4 linked regions of the Tamandua tetradactyla genome follow. The protein of the gene in region 2 purifies or fractionates together with the protein of the main gene of each other region. This does not show direct contact. Links are inferred from orthologs where the notes say so. Each region holds a gene or a part of one and is shown on either strand. Other genes may lie near its edges. The genes, in order: TNPO1, NUP153, NUP50 and NUP133.

What was found.
Region 1: the proteins of NUP153 (region 2) and TNPO1 purify together in Homo sapiens (co-immunoprecipitation; 3 studies listed by BioGRID and IntAct, with this or other methods). This does not show direct contact. The link is inferred for Tamandua tetradactyla from reciprocal best matches to the Homo sapiens genes NUP153 and TNPO1.
Region 3: the proteins of NUP153 (region 2) and NUP50 purify together in Homo sapiens (affinity purification with mass spectrometry; 8 studies listed by BioGRID and IntAct, counting the BioPlex papers as one, with this or other methods). This does not show direct contact. The link is inferred for Tamandua tetradactyla from reciprocal best matches to the Homo sapiens genes NUP153 and NUP50.
Region 4: the proteins of NUP153 (region 2) and NUP133 purify together in Homo sapiens (co-immunoprecipitation; 3 studies listed by BioGRID and IntAct, with this or other methods). This does not show direct contact. The link is inferred for Tamandua tetradactyla from reciprocal best matches to the Homo sapiens genes NUP153 and NUP133.

What each region holds. Positions count from the first base shown.
Region 1 is NC_135347.1:59,848,174-59,855,454, reverse strand, and holds the start of TNPO1 (transportin-1), read left to right. Parts: upstream 1-4,269; 5' UTR 4,270-4,387; coding exon 4,388-4,402; intron 4,403-4,845; exon of another isoform or gene 4,846-4,958; intron 4,959-7,281. UniProt on the Homo sapiens protein: Functions in nuclear protein import as nuclear transport receptor. Serves as receptor for nuclear localization signals (NLS) in cargo substrates.
Region 2 is NC_135351.1:20,802,396-20,809,394, forward strand, and holds the start of NUP153 (nuclear pore complex protein Nup153), read right to left. Parts: upstream 3,015-6,999; 5' UTR 2,743-3,014; coding exon 2,629-2,742; intron 1-2,628. UniProt on the Homo sapiens protein: Component of the nuclear pore complex (NPC), a complex required for the trafficking across the nuclear envelope. Functions as a scaffolding element in the nuclear phase of the NPC essential for normal nucleocytoplasmic transport of proteins and mRNAs.
Region 3 is NC_135333.1:39,469,995-39,477,862, forward strand, and holds the start of NUP50 (nuclear pore complex protein Nup50), read left to right. Parts: upstream 1-4,867; 5' UTR 4,868-5,275; intron 5,276-5,517; exon of another isoform or gene 5,518-5,692; intron 5,693-5,718; exon of another isoform or gene 5,719-6,611; intron 6,612-7,353; exon of another isoform or gene 7,354-7,391; intron 7,392-7,865; 5' UTR 7,866-7,868. UniProt on the Homo sapiens protein: Component of the nuclear pore complex that has a direct role in nuclear protein import. Actively displaces NLSs from importin-alpha, and facilitates disassembly of the importin-alpha:beta-cargo complex and importin recycling.
Region 4 is NC_135328.1:153,880,840-153,888,473, reverse strand, and holds the start of NUP133 (nuclear pore complex protein Nup133), read left to right. Parts: upstream 1-4,616; 5' UTR 4,617-4,682; coding exon 4,683-4,864; intron 4,865-6,548; coding exon 6,549-6,667; intron 6,668-7,634. UniProt on the Homo sapiens protein: Involved in poly(A)+ RNA transport. Involved in nephrogenesis.

The sequences.
Region 1 (7,281 bases), on a different chromosome or scaffold from region 2:
CTAGTTCTGGATATGATGAGGAATTTTCAATTGAAACCTGAACTTTTAGGGAATTATGTTATGAGGCTTTGAATCTGTTTAAACTTTGTTTCTGCTGACTTTTTATGATACAGGTCTGGCAGGGGTAGTGGCAGTGGGGTATGCTACCTTGTTGTGCCAGCTTGTGGGGAGAAGTCCAAGCTCATCAGTCTCAGCTGACATTCAAAATGGTGAACTCTGTTACCGCAGGGTGGAAGCAGAAGTCCAGGCTCCCCAAAAGACCTCAGTTGATACACTGATGGGAGGGCGGGCAGTCTCGTTACTGCCTGGTGGGGATAAAAGTCCCAGCTCCCTACTTTTATCCCCAGAGTAGGTGGCTCCCTACTCTGCCACCACCCTGGTTTGGGGATGGGGAGAGAGGTAGGGCAGGGCAGGATCACTGGGGTGCTTTGTTACAGCCTGGTGGGGGTGTAAGTCCAGGCTCTCCACTAAGCTTTTGCTAGCATGGGTAGTATGGTACCTTTTTTTTTCCCAGTGGTGTTTGGCCACAGCAGAGCAGTTCTTATCTAAGAGTTTTCTGCTCTTTCTAGTACTCAGGCTAGAGAAAGTAGGCTTTCTTTCGGGCATTTTGCCTATGCCATTTTGGCTGACTTCTTCATCTCTACGTCTAGTAAAAATGAAGCAAAAGAAAACCCTGGGAACTAACCACCTTGGGTCCCAAAGTCCCTAATTGATCTGTTTTCCTCTCTACTTTTCAGAGTTTTCTCATTTTTATTTTACACGTAATGTCCAAGGACTTAGATACACTTTGTGGAAAGAAAAATGTGTCCACTCCATCTTCCCAGAAGCAGTAGTCTATGTAGACTTTTACATAAATAAAATTTATTTTTATCCTTAGGAGGTATTAATTATAATTATAGGAAGTTCAAAGATAACCTTTCCCAGTTAATACTTTATCTTTTTTATATATATTGGGTTTGCCTTGAATGAGAAATACCTGTAGATTAGCTACAGATTTCTCAATAGTGACCATAAAACTGTACTCTTCCAAAATTTGGATTAAGTCCTTCTAAATAATTAAATTTTTTTCCTTAATGCCAGTCTGAAGATATTTCAGTGAGAATGCAGTTCTTTAAACTGTATAATGTTATGAAGAATAGAATAAGAAATCCCATTTCTTTCCAGAAGGATAAAATGGAAAAAATATTTCTCAGAAGTATTCTGTTTTAGAAGCTTACCTGTACCTTAAAAGATTATTTCACTTCTCTCACTGAGTTTTTCCTTACTCACCACTTTCCTATTAAATATATTTATTTAAAATGTTTTGGGCTCCCAGACCTATCTTTTATTCAATAAACATTCCTTCTCAGTAAAACATTTGTTCTTTTATATGGTATATTAATATCTAGTAATACAATCATTTATTGCCCTCTAACTATCTGCCATTCTGCTAATGAGCTCTTTACATACTTATCTTATTTAATCCCACATAAGACAAGGAAAGCGAAGCTCAAAAAGACTGGGCCAACAATGCTCATAAGTGGTAAAGCCAGCATATGCACATAGGTCCTCGCCCTCCAAACTTCATGCTTTTTTTCTTTTTTGACAATGCTACATCTGACAGAATGAGTATCTTTTTCTTCCTAGGTGAAACCTTTGAGGTTTGTTTTCTTCCTTAAATTGTATTTTGTAATATCTACCATTCTTTGATATTCACCTAATAAAAAAATTTTAACACATAAATTAAAAACACATGTATAACAGGTTTTGAGGTTAAAAGAAAAGTTTAACTATTTTAAATTTCAGCATGTTATTTAAAAATACCAACAATTTCTTCAAAATTTTATCTCATGTGCATTTTGTATATATGTGGGTATACAGAGAAAAACTACCAGATATCTGCTATGTCATATGCAAACTGCGCAAGGAGAAAATAACTGAAAAAGTAAAATACAATAAGCTATATTAATAAATCCTTGTTAACAGTAAAAAGATTCACTACTTAAAACGAGTTTTGAATTTAACCTAGCAGAAACATATAAACTCTACATGTCTAAACATCTTTATTCTTAAACACAAAACTATTTTATAAAGCATTTTAATTCAATTTCATAAAAGAATGGATATTCAATTTAATCTCAATTTCACAATTGGCAATCCGATTTTTTTCCTTTCAAAAGATTTTGGCCAATAAGTGTTCCACATATGCTAAACTTAAAAAAATTCATTTAAATTATTTCACAACTATTAATCATGTGAATTCCTTACTAACTGCTTGTCTGTAGTTCTTTGCATCTTAAGTTATTCGCTACGCCTCTACATTTTTAAAGCATTTCTACTGCTTTTCTTCAGGAAACTAGAATGCAGAGACCATACACCCCCCTGATTTGTACAGATCATGCGCTCTCTTCCACAGTGTAACTTTCCAAATGCAGAAATGTCATGTTTGTATTTGGATAAATAAACTTATTGTTGGTAATACCCTGCAGATACAATAAATTACCATTTCCCAAGGTTCACATTAAACTTTTTTTCGTAGTCGTCTATTCTTATTTGTGGGAGGGTCTTTTTAATGTATTCGCCTACTACCAAATTAACCTCAGAAAACACTGAAATCTGACATTTTTCAGTTATTTAAAATATTTTTTTCTCGCTATGTTCAATTTCCTAGTGATAATATTGGTCCTTTTTCTTGTAAATTTAAGTTAAACTAATTGTCCCTACAAAATGACTCGTTGCAAATGAGAATTATTCAGAAGTTGCTTAACAAATAAGCTCTTTAGGTGAAAATTGAAAACGCTTTCCGTCCTGGGCAGCGCGGGTGCCCAGCACCGCTGCAGCCCTCCGCGGCGCGGGGCGGGGTCGGGCCGGGGTCCTGCGGGCGGCCGAGGCGCAGGGGTCCGCGCGCCGTCGGGTGGGGGCCGAGCCCACGCCCCTCTGCGCGTTACCACGGGCTTCAAAGAGCAGCGCGCGCCCACGCTCGCCACGTCGAATCCCTTTCTGCTGGGAAGAGAGAAGACTTGGCTCCTCTCTCGGGAGGGCCGCGAAGGGGGCAAGAGCGCCTCCCTTCCACGCGCAGGAAGCTGCGGCCTCACGTGCACACACCGGAGCTGCGCGGCTCAGGTGGAAGAGTCGCTTCACCTTACGCTGGAAGCGGCCTCCACGCCGAGCGGCCCGCCACCTCCGCCCGCCTCCCCGCAGCCGGCCTGCTCGTCCCCACCCGCCCTGGGGCGCGGCGCGGGAGGCAGCATGTTCCGTGCGGAGGACGGGCGGAGTGCGGGTCGCTTCTGGGGTCTAGACGGCAGTCTGGGGTGGGGGTCATCCTTGTGGGCGCCCCGCCCGGCCCACACTTCCCGGGCCTTGACGCTCGCGGGCCCACCGCGCAGGGCAGCGTCCGGAGGCTGCGGCAGGCCGTGAGGGGCGCGGGCAGCCCCCGGCGGGGACGCGAGCTGCAGAGGAGCCTCACCGCGCAGGCCCCGCAGGCCCCGCAGGCCTAGGCAGCGCTCAGCCCGCGCCCCGCCCCGCCGCGCCCCATCCCCGCGGAAGCCCCGCCGCGCCCCGCCCCATCCCCGGGCAAGCCCCGCAGGTCCCGGCAGCGCTCAGCCCGCGCCCCGTCCCGTCCCGCCCCGCCGCGCCCCGCCCCACCCCATCCCGCGCAAGCCCCGCAGGTCCAGGCAGCGCTCAGCCCGCGCCCCGCCCCACGCCGCGCCTCGCCCCGCCCCGCGCCTCACCGCTTAGGCCCCACAGGCCCACGCAGCGCTCCGCTCAGCCCCGCCCAGGCCCATGCCCGCGCAGGCCCCGCAGGCCCAGGCAGCGCTCAGCCCGCGCCCCGCCCCACGCCGCGCCTCGCCCCGCCCCGCCCCACCCCGCCCCGCGCCTCACCGCTTAGGCCCCACAGGCCCACGCAGCGCTCCGCTCAGCCCCGCCCAGGCCCATCCCCGCGCAGGCCCCGCAGGCCCAGGCAGCGCTCAGCCCACGCCGCGCCGCGCCGCGCCCCGCCCCCCGCCTGGCCCTGCCCCGCGCCTCATCCGCGCAGGCCACGCAGGCCCACGCAGCGCCTTCCTCCGCGCCTGTCCCACCCCGCGCCTCACCGCGCAGGCCCAGGCAGTGCCTCAGCTTGCGCCGCCCCCGCGCCTCACCCGCGGCCTCACCGGACGCCTCACCTCGCGAACCCTCCGCGCCCCCCTCTCCGCGCCTCCCCCGGCGCAGGCCCCGCAGGCCCAGACGGCGATTTCCCAGCCCCGCCGCCGTTGCCAAGGCGACCGCCGCGCACGTTCCCGCGGGGCTCCGCCCCCCGGCCAATCGGACCGGCCGTCGTCCGCGCCCAGGTTCCCTTTGTTCCGCAGCCATTTCTGGGACCCGAGGCTGCGCCGCCGCGGCCGACAGCCCGAGCGCCGGAGCTTCTGGGATGGTGTGGGACCGGGTAGGTGGCGTGGGCGAGCGCGGCCCGGGCTGAGGGCGGGTCGGAGGCCAGCTTCGGGGGCCGCGGGGGGAGGCGCGCCGGGCTGCCTGCCGAGCGCTCTCCCGGCCGTTTGGAGGCGGCGGCGGCGGCGGCGGCGGCGGCGGCGGCGGCGGCGGCGGCGGCGGCGGCGGCGCGGTTCGAAGGCCAACAGCTGCCGGCCGAGCCTCGGTGGGGCCCGGGCCGCGGGCGGCCGCTGCGGTGTCCGAGGGCACGCGGAGCCCGTTAGGGGCGGCGGTGGAGGAGCGTCTGCTCCCGCGGCCCTGGGGACCCTGGGGGCGGCCCGCCGTCGGCGGTGGTCAGCCTTTGTCCCGGCCCGCGGGCCTCGCCGGCCTGCCCCGCGCCGCGCTCCTCTATCTCCAGGCGGGCCTCCCTCCCGGGGGCCTCGGGGCCCTCGACGCGGTTACCTGGTTTTAATAGTGGAGACTGCACAGGCTGTGCGTGGGTCCGTGTGGGGTTTGCATTCCTGCCGCCGCTGGTGCGCGTGCCACACGCAGCAGGAAACAGCTGCCGAGGAGCTCCCGGCTGCGGGAATTGCTTTCCTCCTGGAAGCGTGGCTACGTCTTATTTGTTGATTGATTTTTGAAAAAAAAGCAGGGTTTTACAAGGACTGCTTGTAATACAGGTCCGTTATCTTGACGCTGATCAGTTGGTCCATCAGTAGATTCTAAAATTAGAAATTTAAAGTTGGAGGTGGTGCACTAATTGATTCTTGCAGTTGTATTGAGAAGTTTAGTAATCCTGCGTTGAAGCAGTGATACCTTCAATGATGAGTACATAAGTGGTACCTTTTTTTTCCCCCTAAGGAAAAAATGCTTTTTAAATGCAAGATGTACAGTATAGCCGAGTGCCTGTTAGGTTTGTAAAATGGCTGTCCTGAAGTACCTCAATTTTAGGGTAAAGTTTCTGCTGGGTTTAAGTTTTGCTATTATATCAACCCTTTCATATTAGAATGGCAAAGAAGTTATGCTAGCGAAGCTGGAGAGGATTCATTTTTTGGGAAGCAATTCCGTTTTCTGCTTTCATCTTGCCCCACACCCCAGTTTTGTTGGAGAATGGATGCCCCAAGTTGAAAATTTGCAACTTGAAGAGGGAAGTATTAGTTTGAAGGTACAGATTTCCTTTTTACTACCCAACATACGTGATGCATAAGCACTTGACAATTTGGCATGCAGTTTTTATTCCACATAATTTAAAGTGAGCCTAATGCTCCATTTTCTTTTTCCCAAAGAGGCTCCCACCCTGGATTGGCGTAATATGGTCACATCTTTGAAAGTCTTAGGTATTCAAGGTATTATTAAATTGCTTCCACTGGAAAGTAATCAAATAAATGTATTACCATTATATAATATGAGCAGAATAAAGTTTTGGTTAAAATGTAATATATGATACTGGTTGTAAATATTTCCAATATCAGCATTTATTAATGCATTCATTGTTTTTATAACTGCACTTTTTTCTTATTTATATAATATTAAAGCCATCATATGAACTCAGTTTTTCTAAATGCTGTAAATGAAGTGTATTGAAATATAAATGCCCTATATTTAGAAGAATCTCTTGCACTTAACCATGTTGGAAATAGCAAACTTTTTTTTTAAGAAAATAAATTGGTTATGTAGAAAGCAATGACATATGTAATGAAAAAAATTTTTCAGATGTAAACTGCATAAAGGGGCACAGCAGTAAGCAGGAATTATTTTTATTGCCCAGTGATTAATTTTGAATATTTCCTACTGGAATTGATTTCTTGAATATATCTTGGTGCCACAAAGACACCTACCTGCCAAAAAAACCAAAACAGTTTGGTTTGGTAGTAAAAGGATGAGATTGCTGAGAGAATTAAAAAATTCACTGATAAGGTTTTCAAAGACGGGGGAAAAGAAGTCTCCCAAAGGGAAGGATTGGAAATCTTCTGAAAAGGCTCTACAAAGGGAAACTCCCCAGCTGTTGAGGCTCTTCCTAGTTGGTCCCATTCCACCAGCGCCATGGTAGATATCCCGTGGGCATGTTTGCAGAGGGGTGAGCTTGACGGTGGAAGATAGGAAGTTTGCAGGGTGGTAACTGATTTGTAGTTGTATGGGCTAGTGTAGGAGAAAAGGCGGTCGTGGTTGCTCCAGGCCCTCCCCACTAGGGCTCCTTTAAGTGTGTCAGTAGGTCTAATGGGTAAGGAATGTTAGAGTTCCAGAATTTCAGTGGCTAAATGAGATGTCGGAATAGGAAATAGGGCTGCAGATATGTCTTGGAATTTTCTGGAGTAGATAGAGAACCTAAACAGGAATGGCAGTTACATCTTCTTCCAACATGGCACCCAATGGCGGAGCAAGTATTTGAATTTAGAACTGAGAGAAAACTGATAACTGTTGAAGAGTTCAAGGTTTGGAATGATGTATCCTTTTTTTAATTTAATGGTTAATGTTTAAAAAAAAAAAAACTTCTCAGTAGTTAGGAATAGGACCTCTGGAGCCAGCCTGGGTAAGAATTATGGCACCGCCTCCCTTGACAGTTTGACTTTGGGGAAGTTATTCAATCTCAGTGAGCCTCAGTTTTCTCAGTTCATAATGTTTTGAGGGTTAAGTAAGTTAATACAATAAGCTCTTTGAACTGGGCTTGGCACGTAGTAACCACTCCATAAATTATGACTGTCATTGTAATCATTGTCATCATTATTATTTTAGAAAATTGTAGAAAAGCACTCATAATATCAGGACCAGAGCTAACTACTGTAAGCCTTTTGATTATTTCCTTCCATTATTTGTTCTGTGTTCAGTTTTTACGCAGTTGAGACTTTATGAATAATTTTGTATTCTACTTTTTTCACTAACACCGTAACATTTTCTTAT
Region 2 (6,999 bases):
GCTCTAAGCTGATCTAGATCCACAGGTACATTATGGTAAGGTATCATGTTCTCAAAAACTAAACTGTGATTCTCCTTAACCCATATTATTGCCAGCCCCTTCCAACATGAAAAAGTTACAATGGCCATAGCCCAAATACCCCTAAAGAGTGGGGACAGAAAGATCAAAAGTGATGGTGGAGTTATACAGAGAAGGTAGGGCTTAACAATCGAATATGATTGCTGAATCATTAAATTGATATTTCTTTTAGTCTCCAATATCTTACAGGAACTAGAAGTAAAAACCTAAAATTGTGAAATTATAATCCACACCAAACTCTGAAATCTGTTCTACAACTAATGGTGCTGTGCTTTGAAATTTATTGCTTTTTTGTATATGTATTATTTTTCACAAAGAAAAAAAAAAGTCAATTGTGATGACAAAAAAAATATTTATTCCTTCTAGCTTCCTGTGTTCTGGAGCAACTAGAAGGAAAAATCTGAGATGGTGGTATTGTAGTCCACGACAAACTCTGGAATCTGTCCTGTAACTATGTGTTGAACAGTGCTTTGAAAACTATTGTTTTTTTTTTATTTTGTACATATGTTACATTATACAATTTTAAAAAAGTTAAAACGGAAAAAAAAAACCTGCAATAAAATTTTTGCAACGTCCAGCCTTTCAAACTTTGTCCAGACCACCCACTATCTGTATTCAAAACAATTCTTTATATTTATATTTTTATATATATATATATATATATATATATATATATAAAGAATATATACATGTAGTAATTTTCTCTTAAGGGGATCTAAAAAGTACCTGAAGATATTTACTCTTCAAGAGAAACAGAACTCAAGTGTATCAACTTCCATTCTTACAAAAAAGGCTTAGGTTAAATGGTCAGGCTTGTGACCTGAGTGCTAATCTTAAATATGTCTCCAACCACTCTTGTTCTTCACAAAGAATTCTGAAAAAAACAGGCACTTTCTGTAAATATTTAGGGAAAATCTGGAGGGAACTAACAGTCAAGCCTTTTAACAATTAGTAGAAATCGACTTAATGTATAAACCACAATTTTCACTGCTCAAAAATTTAACTCAAATCCTTACTTGTAAAAATCTAGGGTTTTTTAAAGCAGCTTTATTTAAACACCATACAATCTATCCAACCTATACACTGAGTGGCTCTCAGCATCATAAGAGTTGTGCTTTCATCATCACCACAATCAATTTTAGAACATTGTCATGCTCCCAAAAGCAAACTCCCACAGCCCCTATAGTCCCCTATAATTAAAATGGCATTGGTGTGGTACTTCTGTTACAACTGATGGAAAAATATTAAAATATTACTGTTAATGATATCCGTTGGTTTTTAATGATACAATTTAGCCCCACAACGAAAGAATACGTTAAACTGTTCAATATTCATTATCAGCCAGAATAAAACAACCTTGGAAGTCTACCCTTAACAGCATGTAACAATATCTTTACTCTTCCTATTCTATTTTTTTAAACAAGTTTAAAACACTTCCCACTTTAGTGTCATTAGTTTTATGAGTGACTTTATTTAAATAGATTTTTAACATTTTCCTGCTCCACCACCCCACCATGAACAAATAGCACTTAAAAACGGAACTTTCTTAGAATCAAATGTCTTATTTATAATTAAACTAAACTCCTTTTAAAAACGGAACTTTCTTAGAATCAAATGACATTTACAATTAAGCTAAACTCCTTTTCATACTTTCGAACACCCACAAGTACACATGGTGGTTAAATTATAAGACCACCAACATTCCTGGAGTGTCAAAAGTACCTAAACTTCTAGAATACACCCCATAATATTAAAATATTTTGTGCATGAGATCAGTATTGGCGTCGTGGTCAACTGTGGCGAATGGCCAACTCTAGCCTCTAAAATAAAAAAGGCGGGGGGGGGGGGGCGGTATAGAAAAGGGGAGGGAGGGTCACGCAGCGGAGAAAAGACGTATGGGTGGAGAGGGACTTTCAAAATGCCCTAGTGTCACCGTAACTATAAAACGGTTAAGAAAAAGCCAAGCTCTCAGAGCTAGGAGATACGGGCGGGTAAGACTGTGAATTAACGAACGGGTTGAGCTGAAGCCAATCTGTTTTCCAGGTTAACAGCGCCCCCAGCACCCCCTCCTCAGGTGCCCGGCAGACAGACTGCTCGAGGCAGAGCCCTCCCGCGACACACTGTAACGCGGGAGACAAGAAAACAGCACGCGTAAAGGCCTCCGGCCACATTTTTTTCCTTTCTCCCTCAAGAGGCCGTGAGTAATACCATCAAACTCCTAATCCCCGCCAAAAAGAAAAGGAAACGCGCGCATCGCGGAGCTAAAATTTCCTTTCCCGCCCTGCGCAAGCCGGGGGAAGCCCCTGGCCCAGAGGGTAGGGGAGAGGCGGCCCGAGCCACACGTGTGCGCCGCACGGCCGGGCCTGTCTCAACCCACTTCCCGTCACCACCCTAGTGGCCTGCGCTCCCGCCGCCTCACTGGGGGCCTCCTCTGGCCCTCCCGTCCGCTCCACGTGCGGCGAGTGTGGGGTACCGCGGCCCCGCAACGCCCTGTTTACTCCCGCCGAGTCCCCGACCCGCCTGGGCCACCGCGGTTTCGGGGTCGCCTACCTGGTGCTGCTGTCGCCCCTGCGAGTAAGGCTTGGTTGGCCCCTGGTGGCAACGCCGCGTCCGGATCTTGCCGCCGCCGCCGCCCCCTCCTACTCCTCCGGCTCCGGAGGCCATGGCGGAGGCTCCGCCGCTTCCCGCTCCGGGGCGGGTAAGGGGGGCGGGAGAGGCAGAGGCGGCGGCCTTAGAGCCCCCCCCCGCCCGGCCCCGGACCAAATGTCCGCCCGCGCTGCCCACACGGTGAGGTATAGGCACACCAGGGACCTCAAGGTTTCGAGGAGAAGCGGAGCGAAGGTGCGCGCTGGCAGAGGGGGAGGGGGTGGCGGCGGCAGAGACCGAGAAGGTAGATCCAGTCCGGCAGCCTCCCGCGGACCCCCGCCTCTGTGTGTGTCACGGTCTCTATGGAGATCTCCCGTAGAGGACGGCGCGAGCTGCTCCGCACGCTGTTGAGGCCTAACTCGCCCGCCGGCCGGTACGAATTCTTCTTCCGCCGCCCTAGCCGTCGCTGCCGCAGCTGAGGCCGCCGGCGCCGCCCGCCTACCCCTCCCCTCTGCGCACAGCGCCCGCCCCGCCACCGCCGTCGTCCCTGCAGTCGCCGCCGCTCTTGCGCCGATTGCCGCTGCTAAGGCAGCCGCGGCGGTCGCAAGCCAGAACGTCGTCATTCGTCAGCGCCCGACGCCTGTACATCATCACGCTGCGACTGTGCGATAGGCGGGGAGGAAGGAAGCGCTGGTAGAGCCCGCGCTCTCGGCCGCGGCGCACGCTGGGAAACGTAGTTCAGCGGAAGAATGCGGCTTGTCGGCACGGAAGGCGGGGAAGGAGATCAATGCAGCGCAGCACAGGCACCGAGCGAGGGGTCTGTGCCTTTTCCTACAGTTGGTTAGGTTATAAATTTAGACTCCGGAGGGATATGTATATAAAAACAGCAACCTTCCCACTCTATTTCTCGAGCCTCATCAGTTGATTAAACGGGCAGAAAGTCAGCAGGCAGTAAAAGCAAAGACAGAAATTTAATATCTTACAAGAAGTAATAACAGCCTGTGGTTGAAAAAGCAATGTCCATGAACCTTAGGCCTAAAGCAGAATTTGAAAATATATATAGCTTCATTAATGTCCCATTAAACAGGTAAGAGCTTTGTTGTCAAACACTGAAGAGCTGGAATTCTGGATACGCCACTGTCCAGCAGCTGTTTGACCTTGGTTAAATCAGAGCCTTCTCAGCCTTGGCTTCTTCCTTTATAAAATGGGAACTTTAGAATGCACCGTAAGAACTGTTGTGAGAAATTTTTGCGACATTTATATTTATATTAATATATATAAATATTAAATTTATATTTCTGGCATAGAAGAACTGCAATAAATATTAGCTATTAATTACTCGGAGGGCTCACATAACAGGTAAATGGTATATTCTGAGCAAAAAAAAAAAAAAAAATTTGTTCCCGATAAAAAGGCATTTTATTTAGAAGAGTGAATAAGTGAGCTAGGCCCAAAGACCGAATTCACACGACAGTAGCGAGATTCTAGGAGTTGACGGTTAGAAATGGCTTGATGCTCAGGTGGTCCAGCCTTATTCAACAGAAAAGACAGGTTCATAGATTTTGGGTGGCACGTTCAAGGACACAGCTGAGCAGTCAACACCAGGACTAAAATCAAACATTTCTATAAAAGTTGAGACAAGCAGTCAAATGATTAGAGATAAAAAATCTATTGTGAAGAAATATGCAGGTTTAATGTTTCATTTTGAGACCATTGATTTCAAAGCACATAAGTAACTTTGGTATCAAAAAGACTTAGTTTCAAATCTATTACAGTTATAAGTTTTGCACTACAAACTAGCTGTGTAACCTCTGGGAAATTACTGATTCTCTCTCAAAGCTTCGATTTCCTCATCTACAAATAAAATGATTATACATAAAGAATTTATGTATGTAAAATACCTTACTTATAATACATAGAAAGCATTCTAATATCAGCCACGTTGTTAGATACAATTATCTCCATGATTTTTATACAATCTCCACCATCAACCTCAACAATTCCTATCATTATATAAATCACATAAGTGAAATTGTGAAGCCAAACTTACAGTACCTTTGAACTTGTACTACCTTTCAGCACCTAAAGGAACTATGCTGTAACAGACATAGACTTTACAGAGCAAATGGCTTTCAGTGGCACCTCTGACCATAATTACTAAGACTATAAAAAGTTGCCAAATATGAAAAAAAAATAACTTATTTCCTCCTCTGCCCCCTTCTCCTATCTCCTTGCCCCCTTCTACAACTCCCCTCTACACCCCCTTGGTATGTTTGCTCTTCTGCCTGAAGCACCTCATCTTTCTTAAGGTCAATAGTTTTCTCTCAGGCGCTTTTCCTCCCCTAACTTGAAATCTTGTTCTATAGTAAGCCTTCACTAGGTATTTCACAAGCAGGGTATAGTAATTCTTTATAAGCTAACTCACAGAGAGACTCTGAACTCGAATCTCTAATTGGGATACATATATAGGAGAATGAATGTATCCACATTCCATTTTCCCTTTTCACCCTACCAGACTCAAAATTTCCAGCACAGGACAGTGGTCTGGCTAAGGGTCCAAATTCATCCCTTTCCCCTTTCTTTGGAGGCTATCATTTGAAGTGTGGAACAGATTTCACGTTCAAGTGTTCAAAGGAAGGGACATGCAAAATAGCTGGGCCAAACTTGGATGAAACTTCAGAAGGTTGATGGGATTTGAGCTGTGGAGAAATCCACATACCCCTTCAGCCTTGCTCTCCATTGCTTACCCTGTTGCGTATTTGTTTTATCTTTGGACTAAGCTGCATTCAAAACTTCCCACTGCAGAATTTTACCCTGAAATAGTATCAGCCTCATTAAGGGATGAAGTAACTTCTTGTGCATGGTTTGGAATTCTAAAATAACATTGTTTCTGTGCTGCAATGTAGTCTGGAGTTACGAATCACCAACTCATACATTTTTGGAACACAGATTGCACTTCAGTTAGAAACTACTAGGAGTAGCATAGTTCATAATAAATTCTTCTGATTTTAAAACTTTAAGGAAAATTAAAGATTCTGCTTGCATTCAAACATACAAACAAAATTTTTACATTTCTGTAAGAGATACTATATATAAATTGAAAGAAAAAAAACACCAACTGCCAGGGAGCAATAAGAGGGGGTCCTTGAAATCCTCCCAGACATATCAGAAATTAACAAGTTTTTGAAGAAGGGAATACTTATTACTTCATAGTTATGATTAAGCACTTCGTACAGATGACTGAATTCCTAAACCAAATGAGATAATTTTACTTCATGTTACAAAATCGTAAGCTACATTTATAAATTTTTTACCATGAACTGCTGTTGCTTTTTTGGTTATCCTTTTCCTTCCATTAATAACCTCTATTCCAATGAGTCCTTAGGCCTAAACAACATTGGGATGACTCTGAGAAGTGGTTCTAAATTTTGGGTTGTTTCATTGACTATACTTTAATAGAAACTCATTCCCCCTCCCTGCCCCTAGATTTTGTTGTTGTTTTTTGGCATGGGCAGGCATTAGGAATCGAACCTGGGTCTCTGGCATGGCAGGCGAGAACTCTGCCTGCTGAACCACTGTTGCACCACCTCCCTGCCCCCTAGATTTTAAGCTTCAAGAGATAAGGATTTTTTGCCCACAGCTCTGTCCTCAGCACGGAAAACAAATAGCAGTCACATTCTATATACTATAACTTTTTAACCCAATCAATACCCAATTATTACCAATACCAATTGCTTCCATTTTTAATTGTAATAAACATGCAGTGATGAATACAGCTTGACTAGTTTACCTAATCTTTCCTGACCTGAATGTATTCCTTTTCTAAGCTGTGTTACAAATTCATATTTCTAGAATTTACTTATTTGGTATTCATGATACAGCAAGATGAGCATCATGTGTGAATCCCTATGATAATGTTATATGAGATTCTTAGGTAATCCTACCAATCCTGAGAGGAATTATTATACTCATTTTACAGATGAGGAAACTGAGGCACTAAGGAGATTAAAAAAATAATTGAAAAAAATCACAGAGCTAATGAGTGGCAGAGCTGATATTTGAAATGATTTCTCTCTTCCTTATCCCAAAGACCTCACTCTTGCCTTTGCCATCACTGTGCTTTTCTTGTAGCCAATTTCGGAACCCTCTATGATGGTTTAAGCCTGTATTTCCCCAGAAAACCATGTTCTTAAATCTAATCCATTCTTGTGGGTGTGAACCTTTTGATGAGATTACTTCAGTTAAGTTGTGACACACATAACCCCCCTCATTCAGGGTAAGTCTTAATCCTATTACTAGAATCCTTTATAAAATAATGAAATTTAGACAGAAAGA
Region 3 (7,868 bases), on a different chromosome or scaffold from region 2:
ATGGCAGATCACTTCCTATCTCAATTCCTTAATATCAGGAACTAAGTGTGATCTGTAGCCTTCCTATTTTTGGGTTGCTTTCTGGTAAATTCAAACAGAGAATGACCCAAACTTCAAGGTACACACCTATTACAAAGGTAAAACAAAGGCCAGAGAACACTTGGAATTCAACAAACATTCTGCAACTTTATTAGGTTAAACTGGGCTTCAATTTTCTGACACAGTTATGACTTGAGCACATGGATAAACTATACAATGGTGGTTCCTGCCATGGAAGGCACGATTACATCATCTTGAACTCACTTTGAATTAGGTAAAATAAGTAAATCAATATATCTGTATATTTACTTACTGAATATGAATATGAAATTACCCAGGTTGACAACCATAAAAATCCTTTAGTTTTCAGGGGTTAGGCAAACTGGAATTTTTGAAAGACAGATTTCAGGAATAAAAATTGGCTAACACCTTCAGACGCTTATTTCATAAAATGAGGGAGAAACAGCCTCACTAAATGGAAGCAGTCAAATCTATCAGCAGTAGATGGCTACATGCAACCGCCACTTTGCTGAGTTATAGGCAGTTTAAAGCTGTCATTTTAGTAAGCACTGAAATCCATCCTATAACGTGCTAGTCAGCTAAAGTGCTATTATACACATAAATCTATTTTTTACTTGCATTAGAAGGGCATCAATTACCTCATGCTACAATGTTTAATTAAGAAGTAAATGCACTATTTCCCCTAACCTATAAGCTGTTGTGTTATTGTCAGAATAAAAGTTGCTATTTTAACTTAAGTCACATTTCAATGTGGAATACATAAAGTCTACCATAACCTCAGCAGTCAATGTCCCTTATACAGTAACAATCTAAAGATTATATATGAGTGAATTAGTAATTATACTTTGCAGTTAAAAACAAAACTTATTCAACTTACAAGAGAGCACTACAACAGTTTGGAATGAATGAGCTTCATGCAGACAGCACCAAATATGAAGATTCACAAGGTACTGTAACCGAGAAGTTAAGATTTACTGAATTATTACATGGGTATTTCTTTTTCACTTTCTAATACAATAGCCAGAAATGCCTGAAATTACTGAACTATAACCTAGCTGCCTTGATTTCTGATGATTGTAAAACTATATAACCTTTTATCTTATAATTGCAAAAACCTTGTGACTGGCCTCATCTATACCTACAATCCTGTTTTTCAACCTGAGAGTGTTACAATCACAAAAGACAGTCCCCTGATGTTTATTAATGAAGGAACCTGAGGCAGCTCAGAACTAACCTAACTCAATTCCTCAACTATCCTACCAGACAGGCTGGATCTACTCAAAATTGGCCTCTCTCATTGGTTATCACAGCCATGCATGGCCCGTTATCTTGTGTGCCGCTACTTCAGCTCATTGTCAGCTCAGCTGAAGCGCAAAGTGTGAGCGATGCAGCTCTTTACCAATTCTGGTTTGTTCTCTAGGGTGTAACATATTATAATGGTCTAATGATATTTTAAGAAAAGACCACTGTGATCTCCACTTTACAGACAAAAAAAAAAAAGTACATCAAATGGCTTTCCACAGGAACTATTATAAAAATCAGGATTAGAATCTCAAGCTCAGGAATCAATGTAACACCCCAAAACACTTGTCAAGGCTGTGATTGTATTTTTGTAGTTTATTTTGCTAGGGATTTGAAACCAAACAGTGTAGTGTAGAAAAGGACAGAACATTAAGTAAGGAAAAAAGGGCAGAGAGCAAGTCTGAGACTATAAGAGACCAATGATGCAAGTTCTGAGAGCACTATGTCTGAGAGGGCTGGTTACCAGAGCACAGGCAAAGTATGTTAGAGCATGGGGAAGGGAGATGGCATGGGAGCTTCAATCCTTCTTTGGAGAGCCAAAGAGAAGGTTAGCAAGATCGGTTCAATTTCCTGAGGTCCAGGAGCAGTTTAAATAAAAAAAAGTGGGGTGGAGAGTACTGTAACCCATACCAAACTTTAAAATCTGTTCTATAACTATGTTATAAAACAAAGTTAAAAAGTGTGTGGAAATTTATTGCCTTTTGTGTAAATGTTATATTTCACAATAAAAAGAATGTTAAATTCCTCCTCAAAAAGGGAGGGTCAGGTTGGGTTCCAGAGTAAGCCTCAAGTAAAGGCAAAAGGACCAAAAACAGCAACCAAAGCCAGTCTTAACATGGTTTTCTGTTCTTAGTAGTAAAATCTCACTAAGAAAAAAAAAAAATTGGCCTCCCTGACATGAGTAGTAGCTTAAACTTTAATCAATCTGTACATACTCAATAATTAGATCACCTCTAATCACATCATCTAGAGCCATTATGCCCATTACCTAAAACCTGCCCATCTTTTCAAACCATAAAACTATCAGTAACTGCAGTTCAAGGAGACGGATTTTAAGGCTGACAGGCTATCTGGTTTCCTGCTTTGTGCTTACCAATAAACTCTCTCTCTCTTTGAAATTAACCCTGTTGTCTCAGGAATTGGTAACTTGATCACATTGGGCAGAGAACACCCACTTTTGATCAATATCACACCCAGCCAGAAAAGAACTCAAAATGTCTAAGAGGATGTCTCTCTCAATGGAGAAAAGGAAAGGTTCCTTCATTTGGCAAATACATGAATGTCTACTTTGTACTAAGAACTATGCTAGGTTCTTGGGATATTAGTGGCTGAAAATGAAACTGGGTGAGGAGAAAGATAAATTGGTAGGTTTGGAGCAGAGATGCTAAAGTTTGTGACTGCCTCTTTTTTGTGGTGCAAGAGGTGAGACTGCCTGCTGTGTGGGCCTGGGAGACAAAAGCAGCTAGGAAGGTTTAAGTGAGGTTTTAGAGTAGTCTCTAAAGGGTGACATATGCTGAAAAAGATAGCTGGGTACCATCAATCTGGGAGTGTGTGTGTGGGGGGGGGGGAGGCCATGCTAGGCATCCAATGTCTGTTGTAAGAGCACGTGGAAAGAACACTGGGCTGGAGGTGAGAGCTGGGCTCTGTCACTCACCAGTGAAGTCATATCCTATTTTTGTGAGGAGTCTATACTCAAAAACACTGACCAGGTTAAGAACAGAGCATACCACTAAAGACCTCCCCCTTCGTCATATGCTGTTAGTCAAAACAGTCTCTGGTTATAGTTTTTCTGCTAGTTTTACACTCAATTCACAATGACAGTGTGAAAGATCTGTTGAAATAAAAATATACAAAATAATACAGCTCCCTGTTGGATATTTCTTTTTACATCTATGCTCAAAAAAAACAAATCTGTCAAAACAGACGTTTCAGATTTCTTGTCCTTAGGGATAGTAAACGTATTGCTAGGGAATAAGCTTGACTTTATCCCTAAATGTCAAATGTAGGGGCTTTTTTTTTTTTTTTACCTTTTATATACATTTAGTAACTAGAGTTCTTGATACAGGGTCAAAAATGGGCTTTTAGGGAGGATTCCTAAACATCCTGAAATTACACTGAAATTGGCCTTCTACATGCCAATTTTTTTGACTTCTCAATATATCTATAAACCTCCTCCTTCCCCAAAAAAGTTTAAAAAACGCTGCTCTAAATATGCAAGTTCCTTTCCTAAAGCAAATTTCCTAATTAGTTAGTAATGGGTCTCACTTCCCATAGTGTCTTATGGTTAATATTCTCCTCTAGCCGTTAAAACAAGGAGAAATGGACAAAATTGCTTTTCATGACTTAACCTATAATGGTTTGAAAATGAAAAACTGAAACCAAAGCACGATAACAGAAGTCCTCCCACTGGATAGTTTAAAAGGATGTTTGCAGATTTCATCTTCCTTGAGTTTGATAAAATCTACAAGGCCCAACACGGAGGCGCCCATGTGAACCACCACAACAGTAAAATAAAAAACCGACGCTAGTTTCTATAACCTGTAAAAGCACGGCTCGCCCAGAAAACCAAACTTAAATACAGCTGATGAGTTATCACTGACGAATTTCTTCATTATTCACTCCTAAGCAACCCACCTCCTCCCCATTTTGTATAACAGCCAACCCCTAAATGGAAACAATGTACAGCCAATCAACGTTTCCTCATTTGCTTCCGCATTGGCCCTATATGAGCTTCTCCCTTCCACCTCCTCGGGGGAGCTTCCTTCTACCTTCTGATCGGGATTCTACCTGATTCCCGAGCCCCTCAATAAAGCTATGATATGCCAAGTTGCATGAAAAGTTATTTTGCCAATCTTAACTAGCTGTGCAATTCTAAGCAAGTTACTTGATCTCTATGGCACCTAAAGCAGAAAATAAAAATAACTGACTGACAATGGGTGGGTCCGTTTACTCTCCATGAACCAGGAGGCTGGAGCAGATGACTTATACACACAGCCCGCTAAACTCCGACATTCCAAGCCTTCACTTATTCCCGCCATGCCCAAGTTCCTGGTAATCGCAGCAGGGCCACGTCTGGTATGTTCCGGAAGGAATTCCATGGTGGTGTGGAGGCTGCCTGACGTGGAATTTTCCTGACTTCACCTCATTACTCGTTTCACCCGGAGAAAGGCCGGTAGTTCCCGCAGGCTTCGGCCTTTCTCTCTCTCATCAGTCCTCCAGCACCCGTCAAAGAAACACCATGCGTCTCGGTCGCGCTCACTGATTGACCATCCTCTCGCGAACTCCTCGCAGGTCCCCAACCCCGTCGTTCCAACTACAGCGACTAAAGCCAGAACCTCCTCAATCGCCGACTGCGACTGCCAAGCAACTAACGCACGCACGGACACGCCGCGAGCGTTGGCCCCTTCCCCCCGGGGGAGAGCGGCGCGCTTGCGCGGGCATGCGTACGCCGCGCGCTCTCCTCCTGGCATGCGCCTTGTGACGCCACTGCCAGTAAAGTAGGCGCTGCCGCCGAACGCTCTGGTGCGCTTGCGCAGTAGTTGGACGCGGGCGTTTCTTTCCTCCTTGTTTTTTCGAATTCGTTAGAGGGGTAGATTGTAGCTACAAGATGGCGGCTTGGAACGTGTTCGCCGCTAGTACCCCAGCAGTTTCTGGCTAAGCCGACAGCTCGTCCCCCTCAATCCCGAGCACAGAGAGACGAGGACCCAAGGGGACATGATATTTGAGAGTCTAAGCTTGCTGATCTCGAAATTCTTCGAGGCTTTCAGCAAACCGGAAGCGACCAAGAGCGCTCGGCTGGGCAACAGCCGCCGCCTCGACCCCAGCGCCGCGACCGCCACCTCGAACCTGCTGGTCTTCGCTTCCCCCACAACATAGCCAGTGCTCTAGCGGCCTCTGGGGAGGTGAGAAGTCCGTACGTGAGGGAATGGCGCCGAGGGCGGGAGCCGGGGTGCAGGTCCAGGATACGGGAGGCCGGTTTGAGAAAGGGGAAATGGACGAGGGAAGAGCACCGGGACTAGACCGGGGTGCAGGGTCCGGCCTACAGACTGTCGCCGGGCGGGGCGGGGCGAGACGGGGAAGCCGGGGAGGGTGGGGCAGGATGACAGCAGCGACGCAGCCGATAGCTGTTTGTGAAGCCGGGACCGGAACCGACTTGCCGGGACCGCGGTGTCCGGCTGAGATAAGACGCACCCCGGCGCGGGGCCCCTGCGGCGCGGCGGAGATGGGAGGCCAGAGTGGGCCTGGGTGTCCCTGTCGTGGCCTTCTCTTTTCAGCACCTTGCTGTACTCTCAGTACTTCATTCCGCGGTTTTCATCTCCCCTCTGTTCTCGTTAGTCCTCTTTCGCCTGGCCTCGCTTTCTTAACTGCCTGTCCGGGCCATCCCTTTACTCGTTTCCATTGAGAAGCAGTCAGAGGTTTAGTTTTTCCCCTGGTGTTTGTCTCCTTTGTCCGCCCCCGGGTTCTTTTCGTCTTCCTCCAAATACCTAACAAATGAATATGGTCATGTTTGTGTTTTTCATCTTGAAATTCAGCCCCAAGGGCTGTGCTGCACCAGGTAGCAGAGGCCACGATATAAACTTATTAGGCACAAATAATGGAAGTTTTCTCCAGTTACTTAGTTTCAGTTTCTTTTCACATTGTTTCATACCTCTAGCAATAGTTTAATCATTTTGTGCATTTTTACCCTTAACAGGTACATCAGACTTAATAGTATCAGGCCTTGTTCAAGATGCTTTACAGAGATTTATGTCTTTTAACAAAACTTGTTTGTTTAATTTAATAACCGTTTATTATTATGTTCCAGGCGCTATTCTGAACTAAACTCTTTTCGTTTAATTTTCAGAAGCGATCTTTCTCATTTTATAGATGGAAAAACCGAGGGATAAAAATTAAGTAACTTAATTAACTCACAGCTATGAAATGTCAAAACCAGGATGCTAGCATCTTGTAGTATTTCTCAACTATGTAATATCTTAGGTTTGCAGTTCAGCAACACATCGAACACCTACTATGAGCCAGGCACTCTCTTTCCTAGCTAGAAGTTAAAAATTCTCCATTTGCGGCTTTTACCTTTTAACTACCCCTCCTTTTTACCCACGGTTAATCTCTAATAGCAATAATGACCATTTCCAGTTCACTTTTTTTCTGTCCAGTGGTTAGTTAGATATTAGGTGTTAGATAGGAGAAGGACAGAAGATTCCACTCAGGCACTTGACCTCTGAATGAGTTGTAAGGGATTATATCTACAGGTACTGTGTTTGTTTTTGTTTGGATGACAGAGGTTAATAGCAAAACTTAGCCATATGTTTTCAGGAAGGCATGATAAAGGATTCCCAGGTAATGGCGGTTGCGAAATATATTTATTTTAGAATCTTTGACTTTAAAATTGTAAAAGAAAAATTCAAAGATTATTAGGATATTATTGAAAGTAGAAAGACCCCATATATAACCACTCTACCAGGGTCGATCTGCAAATGCTGGTGTTTGAATTACATTTTATAGATGCTAGAGAGCAGTAAGTGATGTGTAAATTTGTGAGTGTCTAGTCTGGTATGTTGTGATGTTGAAGGCAGATGAGGGTGGGGAAAGACTATCAAGAAGTCCAAGTAGGTTTCAGAAGCCTTGGCAAGTGTCCAAAAATAAGTGATAAGTTCCTGGCTGACGGGTGTAGCAGAACAAATGGGAAAGTAGTGTGGGTTTTTTTGTTGTGTGTGTGTGTGTGTCTTTAAATGGTTGTAAAGTCTCAGATATTAAGATATCCATAGTAATCATATCTCCAAAAATAAGTGATAAGTTCCTGTCTGACGGGTGTCGCAGAGGAAATGGGAAAGTAGTGTGGGTTTTTTTGTTGTGTGTGTGTGTGTGTGTGTGTGTGTCTTTAAATGGTTGTAAAGTCTCAGATATTAAGATATCCACAGTAATCATATTTTGAACTTAGCTTAACAATATATAATTTGGAGTGGTTAATTGTTCAATCCTATTTCTTATCAGCTATCTCAAGCCTAAAGAAGAGTGCTCATGTTGTGAAGGTATTCCCAGAGCCTTATTAAAATTCTTACCTGAGAATGAACTTTTTTAATGCATCATTTTAAAGAGAATTTCAAATATTAAAAATGTTTTGCCTACGGGACTATAAATGTAATTTGCATAGAATGAGTTAGGTCAGCCCTTAATTGGTTATATATAGTGCTTATATTCCAGACTTTTAAAAATCAGTGTTTCATGAATTTTTCCAAATGGTTGTTTTTGTGTTCAGTAAGAATTCCAGTATTCTTACTGACTTCCACTTAGGAGACTTCTACTGCCTCCTAGCAAAACTCTCTGGTGGATTTGTAATACCAAGATCCTAACAATACTGTCATAAAGTTCTCTTTGAAGGAGTTTCCACTGATATCAGGAATGGTTATATCTTGTTTTTTGCTGTAGTACATTTAAAAACTTATTTTTAAGAGTTATATACACATTGGTGTAGAAAAATGAACTTTTTGTTTTCTACCACTTAGGTT
Region 4 (7,634 bases), on a different chromosome or scaffold from region 2:
AGCTTCCCAAAAAGAAAAGTCCAGGACCAGATGGCTTCACATGTGAATTCTACCAAACATTCCAGAAAGAATTAGTACCAACTCTGCTCAAACTCTTCAAAATAATCGAAGCGGAGGGAAAGCTACCTAATTCATTCTATGAAGCCAACATCACCCTCATACCAAAACCAGGCAAAGATATTACAAAAAAAGAAAACTACAGACCGATCTCTCTAATGAATATAGATGCAAAAATCCTCAACAAAATTCTAGCAAATCGAATCCAGCAACACATTAAAAGAATTATACATCATGACCAAGTAGGATTCATCCCAGGTATGCAAGGATGGTTCAACATAAGAAAATCAATTAATGTAATACACCATATCAACAAATCAAAGCAGAAAAATCACATGATCATCTCAATTGATGCAGAGAAGGCATTTGACAAGATTCAACATCCTTTCGTGTTGAAAACACTTCAAAGGATAGGAATACAAGGGAACTTCCTTAATATGATAGAGGGAATATATGAAAAACCCACAGCTAATATCATCCTCAATGGGGAAAAATTGAAAACTTTACCCCTAAGATCAGGAACAAGACAAGGATGTCCACTATCACCACCATTATTCAACATCGTGTTGGAGGTTCTAGCCAGAGCAATTAGACAAGAAAAAGAAATACAAGGCATCAAAATTGGAAAGGAAGAAGTAAAACTATCACTGTTTGCAGACGATATGATACTATACGTCGAAAACCCGGAAAAATCCACAACAAAACTACTAGAGCTAATAAATGAGTACAGCAAAGTAGCAGGTTACAAGATTAACATTCAAAAATCTGTAGTGTTTCTATACACTAGCAATGAACAAGCTGAGGGGGATATCAAGAAACGAATTCCATTTATAATTGCAACTAAAAGAATAAAATACTTAGGAATAAATTTAACTAAAGAGACAAAAAACCTATATAAAGAAAACTACAAAAAACTGCTAAAAGAAATCACAGAAGACCTAAATAGATGGAAGGGCATACCGTGTTCATGGATTGGAAGACTAAATATAGTTAAGATGTCAATCCTACCTAAATTGATTTACAGATTCAATGCAATACCAATCAAAATCCCAACAACTTATTTTTCAGAAATAGAAAAACCAATAGGCAAATTTATCTGGAAGGGCAGGGTGCCCCGAATTGCTAAAAGTATCTTGAGGAAAAAAACCAAGCTGGAGGTCTCACGCTGCCTGACTTTAAGGCATATTATGAAGCCACAGTGATCAAAACAGCATGGTACTGGCATAAAGATAGATATATCGACCAATGGAATCGAATAGAGTGCTCAGATATAGACCCTCTCATCTATGGACATTTGATCTTTGATAAGGCAGTCAAGCCAACTCACCTGGGACAGAACAGTCTCTTCAATAAATGGTGCCTAGAGAACTGGATACCCATATGCAAAAGAATGAAAGAGGACCCGTATCTCACACCCTATACAAAAGTTAACTCAAAATGGATCAAAGATCTAAACATTAGGTCTAAGACCATAAAACAGTTAGAGGAAAATGTAGGGAGATATCTTATGAATCTTACAATTGGAGGCGGTTTTATGGACCTTAAACCTAAAGCAAGAGCACTGAAGAAAGAAATAAATAAATGGGAGCTCCTCAAAATTAAACACTTTTGTGCATCAAAGAACTTCATCAAGAAAGTAGAAAAACAGCCTACACAATGGGAGACAATATTTGGAAACGACATATCAGATAAAGGTCTAGTATCCAGAATTTATAAAGAGACTGTTCAACACAACAACAAAAAGACGGCCAATCCAATTACAAAATGGGAAAAAGACTTGAACAGACAGCTCTCAGAAGAGGAAATACAAATGGCCAAAAGGCACATGAAGAGATGCTCAATGTCCCTGGCCATTAGAGAAATGCAAATCAAAACCACAATAAGATATCATCTCACACCCACCAGAATGGCCATTATCAACAAAACAGAAAATGACAAGTGCTGGAGAGGATGCGGAGAAAGAGGCACACTTATCCACTGTTGGTGGGAATGTCAAATGGTGCAACCACTGTGGAAGGCAGTTTGGCGGTTCCTCAAAAAGCTGAATATAGAATTGCCATACGACCCAGCAATACCATTGCTAGGTATCTACTCAGAGGACTTAAGGGCAAAGACACAAACGGACATTTGCACACCAATGTTTATAGCAGCATTATTTACAATTGCAAAGGGATGGAAACAGCCAAAATGTCCATCAACAGACGAGTGGCTAAACAAACTGTGGTATATACATACGATAGAATATTATGCAGCTTGGAAGACAGAATAAACTTATGAAGCATGTAATAACATGGATGGACCTAGAGAACATTATGCTGAATGAGACTAGCCAAAAACTAAAGGACAAATACTGTATGGTCCCACTGATGTGAACCGACATTAGAGAATAAACTTGGAATATGTCATTGGTAACAGAGACCATCAGGAGTTAGAAATAGGGTAAGATAATGGGTAACTGGAGCTGAAGGGATACAGACTGTGCAACAGGACTGGATACAAAAACTCAAAAATGGACAGCACAATACTACCTAATTGTAATGTAATTATGTTAAAACACTGAATGAAGCTGCATCTGAGCTATAGTTTTTTTTGTTCTTTTTGTTTTGTTTTGTTTTTATATATATTTTTTGTATTTTTATTTTTATTTTTTTCTCTATATTATCATTTTATTTCTTTTTCTGTTGTCTTGCTATTTCTTTTTCTAAATCGATGCAAATGTACTAAGAAATGATGATCATACATCTATGTGATGATATTAAGAATTACTGATTGTATATGTAGAATGGAATGATTTCTAAATGTTGTGTTAGTTAATTTTTTTAATTAATGAAAAAAAAATAAAATAAAAATATTATGAATCTATATACAGACAGAAACCAAGGGGGCAAAGAAGAAAGGGATATCTAACTCTGTGGAAGTCTTTCCGGCGGCAGTAGCACTGAATGAAGACTTGATGTGTGGTTAGAGGCTTACCTAGCCAACAGGGGTAAGGAGAGAGGGAAGGCATGCCAAGTGAAAGGAATATGTGCAAATACATTGGAGGGGTGAGATGGAAACTCTTACGTATTTTTTTTTCCGGAAGGAATATGCACTGCAAGTGGAAAGGGAATGAAGTGGAGTCAGACGTACGAGCCAGCAAGAGTTAAATCACAAAGGACCTTGTAAAGGAGCTTGCCAAATTACCTGTGGGCAACAAATGGTCAGCTACTGAAGCAGTTTCATGCCCAAGAACAACATCCAATATACCTTATGTTGGGACCTATATCACATACCCTATAAAAGGCATATTCAAGTCTTAGTCTGTGCCCCCATGGGTGTGAACTCATTTGTAAATAGGACTTTTGAAGATATTATTAATTAAAGTCTGTACACATTTGTGAATAGGATCTTCGAAGATCCCTATTTAGATGAAGAAAAATTGAATCAGGGTGAGACTTACCCTGATGAGTCCATATAAGCAAAGGAAACTTGTATACAGTGGGTAGAGGAATCCAGAAGTCAGAAGATAGAAAACGAAGGAGATTGCCATTTGACAAAGGCAGATATGAAATTCAAGGAACCCCAAGGATTGCCACAAGCAGCACCGGAATACCACAAACAGTATCTGGGAGGAAGCATGGCCTATGGAGATCTCGATTTTGTATTTTTAGCATTAAAAACCATGAGACAATAAATACTCTGTTTAAGTTAACCCATTGTGTGGTATTTGTCATAGCAGTGCTAGCAAAGGAAGACACCTTAGTCCACTAATTTAGCAATGTGGAGGATGGAGTGGAGTAAGAGCAGGCAGAGGCAAAGAAACTCAAAAAGAGATTATTGCTATGGTCTAGGGAAAAGGTGAGTGCGTGAACAGGGCAGAGGTAGTGCAGCTGTGTGAGATGTGCTAGATGTACTCCAGAGCTACAAAGGACCAGGATGTTGTCGTGAAGATAAGTTTGAGGATGACTTTAGGATATAGCCCTTATTTTTACCTTGGACAACTGACCAGTTTACTAAGCTGGAAAATACATGATAGGAGGATGAGAGTCCTAAAAGAAAGCATGAATTCAGTTTTAACAAGTGAATAGTAAGGAGTCTGCAGGATATCCAGGTGAAAATGTCCACTATGAAGTTGACAGATGTCTTTGTTTTTTTTTTTAAATCAGGATCTGCCTTAGAAATATGTATTCGTGGCGTGAATAGTGTGGATGAGACAGTCCAAACAGAAAGAGAAATGACAAAATGGGAAAAGAACAAATAAAATATTGTGTGAAACCTGCGTTAGGTTTACCATCGCCCCTTTCCATTTCTCTGGCTCAGGAAAGATCAGAGGGAGAAGTGGCTTCGCGTCAAGCGGCTAGAGCGTCAACACCGCCTATGTGAGTCGGGAAGGCCCCCTGGTTTTCCAGCTTCATTTCCCTGGAAAGTCAAGACTACTGCTTGGACCAGAAGCTCCGGAGGCGCCAACCCCGCCCATTCTCCTCCAGCGGCTGCAGCTCCGCCCACGCCCCGCGGGTTGTGCGCTGGGCCTGACGTCATCACCGTGCGCTCTCGACCTTCAAGCTCCGCGCGCGCGCCGCGAGCCTGCGCCGCGAGTCTGCCCCTCGGCCGGGAAACCGCGCGCTCCGCCGTCACTCCCTCGCATCATGTTCCCGGGCGTCCCCTCCCCGCGGACCCCTGGTCCAGGGTCCCGAAGGGGCCCGCTCGGCGGAGTCGGGCCGGCCTCCACGCCCCGGGTGCTCAGCAGGAAGGGCCTGACCCTGGGGTCTGGAATGAGCTCTCCTGTGCTCTTCTCACCGGTCGGCCGGCGAAGCTCGCTGAGCTCACGGTAAGTGATTCCTCCCTCGTTGGGTCCGACGAGAGGCAGACTCAGAGGCTTCGGTAGGCCTAGTGGGGGAGTCTCCCGAAGCCTCTGGAAACGTTGGGAGGGAGGTGGGGGCGGGGGTGCCAAATTTTGGGGAAAATAAATATCCGCTACCCTTGCGGGTTATTCCAGCTTCACCTCGATTGACTCGTCATTTGAATCCTCGCTTTGCGCTTTTCGTGGGATTATCTTTGTGCGGAAAGAATCAACAAGCTGGATTTGAATCGGTGCCACTTCCCCTCTTCTTACCAACCCTGTAATGTAGAATAAGTCACTCGTGATTCTCCTCAACTGAAATGGCGCTAATACCTGACCTACAGTCAGTCTCCCTCACTAAGGCCAGAGGACTCGATAAGAAACGCCTGGATGCAGTTGTTAAGTGATGGTGGTAGTAAGGACCTCCTACCCTAGAACGTCATTATGTAATGCCGAACATACTAAGGCATTAGTATCTGCTGATTGGTAATTAAAGGACGTTTAGCTACAAAAGTTCCCTTTGTAGTTAAATTAACAGAGAAAAGACCTTCTACGGTGGGATAAGAATGGTAGTTTTGTAACCAATAAGAAGTGCGAAGCAGCAGTCCATATCACTGGTAAAAGTATGCCTCAACCCACCCATGTTCACAATACTCAGAACTTTAGAAGGTAGGTAACATCTGTTTCTGAGTAGTTTCCTCTGATCCACCCATCAAAAATGAGTTTTCCCTTGCGAGAAATAACGGTATTACTGTGCCTTAAACTTACAGTTATAATGTATTTATACAGTTTTGCAGTATTTTAAAGGAGAAATGAATTTGAAAGAATGCACTGTATCCTTGGCTTTTGCATTTTGAAGAGTGCTCTTAAAAGTGCTGATGCTCTTGTCAGTGTTTTATGTTCCTTTTGAGAGAAGTAAAAGAATAAAAGCCATAGTTTTCTTTTTCAATTCCTTACTATGGTTTTAAAATTTCTTACCTTCTGGTGGCCATTCAAAGAAAAACCTTGTTACAATACTTCTGTTAGGAAATACAGCTCTATATGTGTAACTCCTCGTTAAGTCCTCTTGATAAATTTGAGGGTAACTTTTATATGGTGGCTTTACATTATTATTCTGAATGTGAAGAAGAAAATGAGAAAGGAATGTAATGTCTACTTCTATACCTATTATTAAAGGCTAGGTTAGAGCAGATGGTCATGACTCTGTTTTCTTGTTTGGTTGCACAGAGCTGGTAGATTTCTTAGATTTCAAGAGCTGAACAAGAGCTTAAGTATGACCGACCCCTATGTTTGTAAATGTTTTCAACCATAACATGTGATTAAACTCTGAAATTTTATATGCTAGTTTTTCAAAAATGTTAAGACCCTCAAAATGACTTGCAGTTTGAGAAACACTTATCTAGCCCAATCTTGTTATTTTCTAGATAAGGAATCAGTTATAAAAAGAGGCATGCATTTACTAGAGTATGAGTCTAAAGCCAATTTTCCCCAAATCCCTCCATTTTCAATGAATGATATATTTAATCACACAAGTATACGTAGGTCAGTGTTCTTTCCACTGTCACCTCTCTTCTTGTGTAATAAAGATCTTTTTATTATGAAATTATATATACGAGGTATGATAATGAAAAATTTAAATTATGAGTGCTGTTACAATGTCTCTTTTCTTTAGAGGAACACCTACACGAATGTTCTTACACCACTCTGTAACTGAGACTATGAACTATGATGTGAAAACTTTTGGCTCTTCTCTCCCTGTGAAAGTTATGGAAGCCCTAACATTGGCTGAAGGTTGGTATCATCTTCCCATTTGCCTCAGTTAGCAATTCAAAATGGAATTTAGCCTTTAGGAAAATGCAGATCAAACCCATCCTAAAATAACACTTCATACTCTCTAGAAAGGCATTTATTAAGAAATGGAAAGTAGCATGTGAGGACTGTGAGAAATAGAAACTCTCCTACATTGTCGGTGGGAATATAAAATCAAGCAGCCTGTGGTAAACAGCTTGGCAGTGTCTCAAAAAGTTAAACATCCACTTCTAGGTATATGCCCCAAAAGAACTGAAAGCAGCACCTCAGATATTGGTACGCCAATGGAGATGGTGGCATTATTCACAATAACAAAAGGTATAAGGAACCCAAGTGCCCATCTACAGATGACTGGATAAACAAATGTGCTATATACATTCCTGTAAAAAGTGAAGTTTTGATATGTAGATGAACATGGGTGAATGTTAAAGACATGAAGGACAGATATATGATTTCATTTAAATGAAATAACTAGAATATGCAAATCCATTCATAGAGAAAGAACATCTGTATAGGTAGGGGGCATGTAATCAAGTTATTGCTTATTGGGTGCAAAGTTTCTGTTTGGGGTGATGGAAAAGTTTTGGTAGTGGATAATGGTAATGGTAGCACAACATTGTGAATGTAATTTAAGCCACTGAATTGTTAGATTTGCAAGTGGTTAAAATGGCAAATTTTATATTGTATATATCTTACCACAGTTTTTTTTGTTTTGTTTTAATTTTTTAAGATGGTTTTTTAAAAAATGATGCCTAGGGTTGGCATGTGGATTGAAATTTTTGCTTTCTCTAGTATACCTGAGAGATATACCTAAATGGGGAGATATAGTCAGCTTATTTGACTTTTCAGTATAATTGAGAAGTATCATAAATTTGAGAAGCTGGATGAGTTCATTCTAACACAATCAGATTAAGTCTTTATTAGTTTCAAGTGCTGCATATAGCAAAAT